2 linked regions of the Mytilus edulis genome follow. The protein of the gene in region 2 interacts with the protein of the main gene of each other region in a pairwise test. Links are inferred from orthologs where the notes say so. Each region holds a gene or a part of one and is shown on either strand. Other genes may lie near its edges.

Region 1 (3,935 bases), on a different chromosome or scaffold from region 2:
ACTTAAACTTGATCTGTAACTCATCATTGTTAGCCACATACCAAAAATCAGCCCAATATCTGAAAGCGTTTAGAAAAAAAGTCTGTATAACAGCGATTTTCAAAATTTTATTAAAGTCCAAAGCCAAAAATTACAGCAAAAATTAGCAGAGCAGCGAAACTTAAACTTGATCTGTAACTTATGAATAACTCACAAACCAAAAAATCATCCCAATATCTGAAAGTGTTTAGAAAAAAAGTCTGTATAACTGTGATTTTCAACAATTTATCAAAGTCCAAAGCCCATAATTTTGTCAAAAATTAGCGAAGCAGAACAAAACTTAAACTTGATCTGTAACTCATCATGGAGAACTTATATTCCAAAGATCAGCCCAATATCTGAAGCGGTTTTCAAAAAAAACTCTGTATAATGGTTTGTTGTGGAATGACGGAATTTTGGAATTTCAGACAGGGGTAAAACTATATGTCCCGACCACTTAGTGGCGGGGCCATAAAAACTAAACTTAAATTCATTAAGTTTGTATTTTTTTTTTAACATTATTTGTTTGAATAAGACTATAAAATTGTGTGATGCTAGATTTGACTTCTAGTTGCTAAACTTGTCTTCTTGTCGCTGCTGTGTCAGAATCTAATGGAGTAATTCTTTCTGTCGAATTATACTTTCAAAATCTAACAGTACACTCAATTGCTATAATTTGTTCAAAACATCCTAAACAATGACTGTCTATACCGTTCGCCACTGATCCAATGTCCCAGACTAGAACAATTCTATTTGGACTAGCAAGTATTTGCAAAACATTGTTCAGACACATAATGAAAAATGGCAAAATATTGGTCTTTTCCGTTAAGTCTTTGGATTAGAAGAAGTAAATGTAGTAGAAGTTGGTAAAGTTTTGGTGCAGACTGATTGACTTGAACATCTTTTCAATTTTGTTGTACTCACAATAAAATTACACATAAAATTGAGAAAGGAAATGGGGAATGATTTAAAAGACAACAACCCAACCATAGAGCAGATAACAGCCAAAGGCCACCAATGAATCTTCAATGTAGCGAGAAACTCCCGCACACGGAGGCGTCCTTCAGCTGGCCCCTTAAAAAATATGTATACTAGTACAGTGAGAATGGACCTCATACTAAACTCTGAATAATACGTAAGAAACTAAAATTAAAAATCATACAGGACTAACAAAGGCCAGAGGCTCCTGACTTGGGACAGGCCCAAAATAGCGGCAGGGTTAAACAGGTCTATGAGATCGTAACCCTTCCCCTATACCTCTATAGTCTTTTACTTTGATTCTGAAAAATTGGAGACCACAACTGACTTTACACTAACAGTGGAGTCCCCACAGCCTGTGATATCGCACATTAGCTGATTTCATCATATCAACACATTAATATAAATAAAATCATTCTTGTTATTGTTTAAGCCTTCTGAAGGGAAAAAAAAAGAATAAAATTGATAAGTTCAAGAGTTCATTAATAACTGCAATTCCTTGATTTACCATATTTGGTCAATTTCCATTAAAAAAATACATCATCAGATAAAATTTGTTTTACCTAAGTCAAATTTAATTATGATATGAAATAATTTTTTGCTCTGCATCCATTGGCATCTTTGGCAGTGTGTTTCACTGTTTGGTTCAAATTCAGCTACATTTAGTAGTATAAAATCTTTCTTTTATTCAAAATAACCTATTTTTGTAAGGCATGCGAGAAATCACCAGACATTGGAGGAACTCTCAGAAAAGGGGATTCCCTAATTTTGGACACACATTACTAAAAATTCTGAGGATGAAACCATACAAACAGAAGATTTTATAAAATAAAAGTATGTTATGAAGTGTTCACACAATTTTATCCAATTTTTGGTTTTATTTGTTGAATGAAGTGAAGTCAAAAGTCTTAGGTGTGCAGATACACCGGACTGCACCGCAACATTAATTTAAGCTGGGATATAACTTCCTTGAATTTGTAAGACATTCCTTTTTTCATAACAAACTTATCCCATTATCTTTTTCTTCTAATTACCAAAACACATCTTTTATACTTTATTCCAATATTTTAACAAGAATAGAATAACAGTCAAACTAATTTGCAATATATGACTTTAAACAGAATTATTCAGAAAAGATTGAAAAATCTGTCCTGGGTCACCTTTAGTTTTTAATTAGTTTTACTGTATTTGATTCAAGTTCGTCCATTGAAACTATACGGTTATTTAAACAGAGAAGAAGACTATTTTACGCCAATTTTGAAATAAAGTATACCCTGTAAGTTGTCATGATGTCTGATGTTGTTCTTCAATCTCGTTTCAAACAGGTCCAGTTAGGAATGGTTGCTATCAAGGTTTCGGTAACATGCGCAGTGACCGGTGAAGAACCTAGATGATAACAGGTCTCAAATAAAACTTTACAATTGTGATAAACGATCAAGTCAAATTTAAAAGTTCAATGAAGATTGGTTTGATGTAAAACTGCGGAAGAAAATAATATGTTTTCTTGTTATAATGTAAAATGCCAAAGTAGTTATCATTTAGTTTGTACGGTCAAACTTAACTTCCGTTTTTCGGAATTTGTAGCTTTATCCATTTGTTTGATGAAAAGACCCGAAAAATGTAGGAAAAAAAATCGTCTGTTTTTGAGTTTTGGAGGCATTTTCAAAATGATTGGTGTTTCTCTAATTATTCAACGGTATTTTAAAAATGAATTACTAAATACTTTAGGTTGCTTTATGACACTGTTAAGATTATTTTCCCCTTTCCTGACATGTATGAAAAAGCAAGAAGAAGAAGGGTCTTTCGGTTTTAAGTCTTTTAAAGAGACAGGCCAGCACTGCCTCAGTCACTGAGTCAGTGCCCTCAATCATTCCTTGACTTATTTTCATTTTTTATTTTTTCTGTTGTCACAGAGTTACAGAGACAATCTCACCCTTCATAAATCAAGTGCAAACTGCTGAATAGATTACACAGGAACAAATTATACTATTACTATTTTGACGGGATACACCTTATCGTTATTTGTCCGCCATTACTGGATATCACACTGGTTCCCGTAAAATTTTGACGTCATAAAATAAAATATCTGAAGCCACAATGGAAAAGTGATTGTTGTATGCGTCAAAAGTTCAAGCGGCTGGTTCAGCCGGCCGATAAGGCTAATAGAGATAAGGTGTATTGCTTCCTTTAGAAAATGTGGTATAGATACTTAGTCAGCCATAAGTGGTTGAGCTAAGGAAGTACTTCTTTAGCCCAGTCGGTTAACACACTGCATTGTAACACAGAGGTCTCGGGGTTCGATTCCAGGTGGAGACAAGCAATTTTGTAATGAAATTCATGCACTCCGGACGCCACGATATAGCCTTTTTGTGCTAATGCGGCGTAAAGCAACCAACAATCAATCATGCTCTCCGGTTACATTGGCGCCCAGCTAAAAAACCCACATAAGTTAGAGAGGAATTCTAGCTAGGGTAATGTGTGTGAGAGTCATAATGGTATGATGACTCGTGAGGTTGGGGAAGTGTGACAGGATTGCTTCCCTTAGAAAATGCGGTAGATATTCTATAAGCGGTTGAGCTAAGGAAGTACTTCTTTAGCTCAATCGGTTAGCACATTGTCTTGTAAGGCAGAGGTCATCGGTTCGAGTCACGGTGGAGACAAGCAATTTTGTAATGAAACTTATGCTCTCCGGTTACAATGTCAATAGGGACAAAATTGGAGTGTTTAATTATGAAAAATGTATTACAAATGGTAAAATGTATCCTCATCTCATGGGTTTTCGTGGTATTAAAAATGCATTGTGACGTCACAATTTCTATTGAAAAAGCATTCATAGTACAAATTCATATTATGTATGAAAACAAATGATCAGACCATAGGCATAGAAGAAAGAGGTTAAAACTTGTAAAATATATGTACTTTAACATGCATGTTCAGCC
Region 2 (3,935 bases):
TTAAATTCTAATTTGTCATAAATACTTAAAAAAAAATTTTTTTTGCAGATTTTGTATGTTGTTTACACTTGTGAGTAAACACTGTAAAATATTACCCTTGGGGAATGGTGAGTAAACACTGTAAAATATTACCCTTGGGGAATGGTGAGTAAACACTATAAAATATTACCCTTGGGGAATGGTGAGTAAACACTGTAAAATATTACCCTTGGGGAATGTGGAGGTCTTGAAAAACCATCATATGTTAACGTAAAAATAAGAAAATGTGGTATAATTGACAATGAGACAGCTCTCCAAAATTCCTTGCAAACTATGAGCTAATCTAAAGTTAGATGACCTTGATGTTTAACAATGAACATTTAGATGTGAACATTAGACCAGGGATCTATGTTCTAGAGTTGGACATCTAAAAGGTATTTTGCTTAGATTATATACACCACTTTCCCATTTATTCATGTTTTGTAATACTGGTTATCTGTTTTGCAATATTTGGCAAGAACATATAAAAGTTGTTAAAACATGAAATGCTATTGTGGAAGGGCTACTTTCAATATCCACCATATGACTTTGTCAAAAGTTTTTTTTTTACTTAAAAAATCTATGTATTTTACAAATTGACATTAAAACATCCTCTAACCATATGTCATAAGGGAGATAATCCTATTTCAACTCATCAAATCAAAACATCCTCTGACCATATGGTATAAGGGAGACAATCATGTTCTAACTTTTATATTAAGGTAACTTTTGGTTGCAGTCTTGAAACTGACTGCTCCATAGGCTTACCAGTACATGCAAAACAGCTGATCTTTGAATTTTTTTAAATGAAATGCTACATAGATTTTTTTTTCATGTTCATATCATGTATGTAGTAATGTCAAATTGTGTTTTAATCTAGAAAGAAAAAGTAGGTCATGCCACCAAGAATAAAAAGTTATTTAATCTTGAAGTCAAAATTATTTTTTTCTACTTTCTGTTTGCTGTTTTTACTAGGCCTAACCACTTGCAGTAACATAATATCCTTCCACTTTCCTAGCTTGATATCCCCAAAGAGATGCAAGATTTTCTAAAAATCTAAATGTTACATATGTTTCAATTCAGCATTTATAAAACTTATAATCAAACAGAAAAAATTGAGTCCCAGAAAAAATGGACCATTTCATTTCACTCTATGTTTAGTCATGCTGCGTAAACTAGAAACTAGTTATACAAGACTGGTAACTTTTATTCTGTCTTATCAATAAAACATCCTCTGATCATATGATATAAGGGAGACAATCAAGTTTTATTTCTTGTCATAGTAACTTTTATTCTATCTAATCAAAATTAAGTCTCTGCGCTGACACAGTGTGGAGTATAGAGATTAAATCTGAAATTTTAACCATTACACTCTAGATTTATTCATGATTATTTTTTCATCTTATCTAAGTATTAAAATATGGAGATGTGGCATGATTGCCAATCAGACAACTATTATCCTTTAATGGTGGAATGAAGTTAATGCTAGAAATTTAAGCCAACTGTACAGCCATCAAAAATGAGAAAATATACCATAGTGGGCAAACTAATCCCCAGATCACTTTAAAATCAATTGGTTATAAAAGGTGATTTGCAAAAAACAAGGAATACAATGTCCTGGGAGATTTAAAGAAACTGGAGGAGCTGATTACACGACTGGCATCTTCCACAGAGGATGCTGCTAAAAAAAGACCAATCTTTATCATCAGGAAAAACTACTTTAATTCCCAAAAGTTAAATTGATAAAGCAAAGGGCCATCTTCAATGTATATGCAAGTTGGAAGAAAGTATAATGTATAAATATGTGTTGTTCAAACTTGTCCTTAATAAAAAAAAATGTATCACTAGTTCCTTACCAACCAACGCAGAAACTGCTAATTTTTTGTTTGTATCGCCCCATTTGGATTTTTTCCCACTATCATCTGAACTTCCATTATTCCTTTTTGATGACTCTCCCCCTCCTGAGTTAGTTACAAATGCCTTTTTAAGTAAAGAAGTAGCTCTTCCAATCCCAGCCATCTCTGATCATCAGCTGTGGAATATTTCCTTATTAAAATGTTTCTATCATCTTTATTACCATTTATCATCACATAAATTACTTTTAAAATCCTGTTTATTAAACTGATATCAATATTTAAAACTTTACAGATCTATAAAATCTTTGATAAATAACATACTTTATATGATCTAAGTTCTAACTACAATATTATAAAAAAAATTTTTACTTTAATATAAAATAGAATTATTTTTACTACTAAAGCCTTTTTCTCTGTTAAAGTCTTTTAAAAATCAGGTTTTATTTTCTCAAAATTAATTTAAAAATATTTAATGAAGATTGTGTCATGTTTAATTTCTATACGTTTTTTAATGTTATTTTAAAATATTATCATCATACATGAATTGCATCCTACATCAGACTATAATTTCAAAACCTACCTTATGTAAGAAAACAATAGAATATCCGATAGCCAAACTTAACATGTAAACAAACTGCAGGAAATCCTTACAGAATTTTGGCCAGAAAAAACTAAAAACTAAATAGTGGTTTCTATTTGGTGTATAAACAATATTTCCTTCAAAGAACTTCAAAGGTTTAAGTGACAACCATGCAAAACAATACACCATTCAGTTCATATACATGAGTAAACACAATATTGTATTGAATTAAAATACTATAACTAATGAAGGTTCTGTCCAAATATTGGTTTTTTTCTGACCAAATAAAATTCTAATTCTTGTTACATACAATCAGAAATTTGATATGGCTATTTCTAACCCTTTAGATTTGCCTATAATGACTCCTATTATAAGTGAAATTTTGTGAATTGAATTATTTAAAGGAATAAACAATGTTCCATTAGATTTCAGAAAGTTTACACTAGTTAATTGTGCTACCTTTTATTGGTTTCTTTGTTAATGTCCATTTACACAAACCTTGATGGGTACTCAATGACAAAACTTTATCTTTTAAACAAATATTGTTTCGAAAAAGAACCAAAAAGATCAAATGTTCACGGTACAAAACATACTTCTAAGGGATAAGTTTACTGTTAATTATTGTTTTACAAAAATTCCATAAAATGAACAATTCATATGTGTTAATTTTTAGCATGGAATTTGATCAGAAATCCAAAATTTCTATATCTAATAGTTAATGAACCTTTCTGATACCCCTAAATAAAGTGGTGAAAAGCAATTAAATATGTCAATATTTGTCTGCTATATTACAAGCCTTTCATGGACACAACTCTGGTTTTAATGAGAAATTTTATTTTTCAGATGGCAAAGGGTAACACAGATGTGACTGGAAGTAAAGGTAATAAATAAAAAAATATAATATCTTTCCTCATTTTTGAAAAAAAAATAAAAGAAAAACACTAATTGAAAATTATAAATACAAATTTACGATATATATATTCAAAAATTTTGTATTTTAAACATTGTAAATGATAGGATATGACTATTGCTTTTATCTATTTCTAAATTACATTCAATATACAGCACTTCCAACCTTCTATTAAAAAATGTGATGGTCTCCTAATTTTAATTCATTTATATTTTTAAAAACACAACATTCAATTCTTTTATTTTATATTGCCAAATTATTTTTTAATGTTTTATTGGTGTAGTACAGCTATTATTGTAACCTTTCATTTTATTGTAGCACAACTACTATGATTACTATATTAACTGTTGTACAGCTACTATAATTACTATTTCAAATGCTTTACAACTACTATAATTACTATTCTAACTGTAGTACAGTTTTTATGATTACTTTTTTAAGTGGGGTTCAGTTACTATAATTACTATTTTAACCGTAGTACAGCTATTATGATTACTATTTTAACTGTAGCACAGCTACTATAATTACTATTTTAACTGTAGAACAGCTACTAAGATTACTATTCTAACTG

The links.
Region 1: the proteins of MYCBP-associated protein-like (region 2) and c-Myc-binding protein-like interact in binary tests that used the Homo sapiens proteins (3 or more experiments, as listed by UniProt). The link is inferred for Mytilus edulis from reciprocal best matches to the Homo sapiens genes MYCBPAP and MYCBP.

The regions. Positions count from the first base shown.
Region 1 is NC_092353.1:10,607,411-10,611,345, reverse strand, and holds the start of c-Myc-binding protein-like, read right to left. Parts: upstream 2,402-3,935; 5' UTR 2,285-2,401; coding exon 2,270-2,284; intron 1-2,269. UniProt on the Homo sapiens protein: May control the transcriptional activity of MYC. Stimulates the activation of E box-dependent transcription by MYC.
Region 2 is NC_092344.1:110,248,162-110,252,096, forward strand, and holds the start of MYCBP-associated protein-like, read right to left. Parts: upstream 2,579-3,935; 5' UTR 2,455-2,578; intron 2,051-2,454; 5' UTR 2,038-2,050; coding exon 1,875-2,037; intron 108-1,874; exon of another isoform or gene 49-107; intron 1-48. UniProt on the Homo sapiens protein: May play a role in spermatogenesis. May be involved in synaptic processes.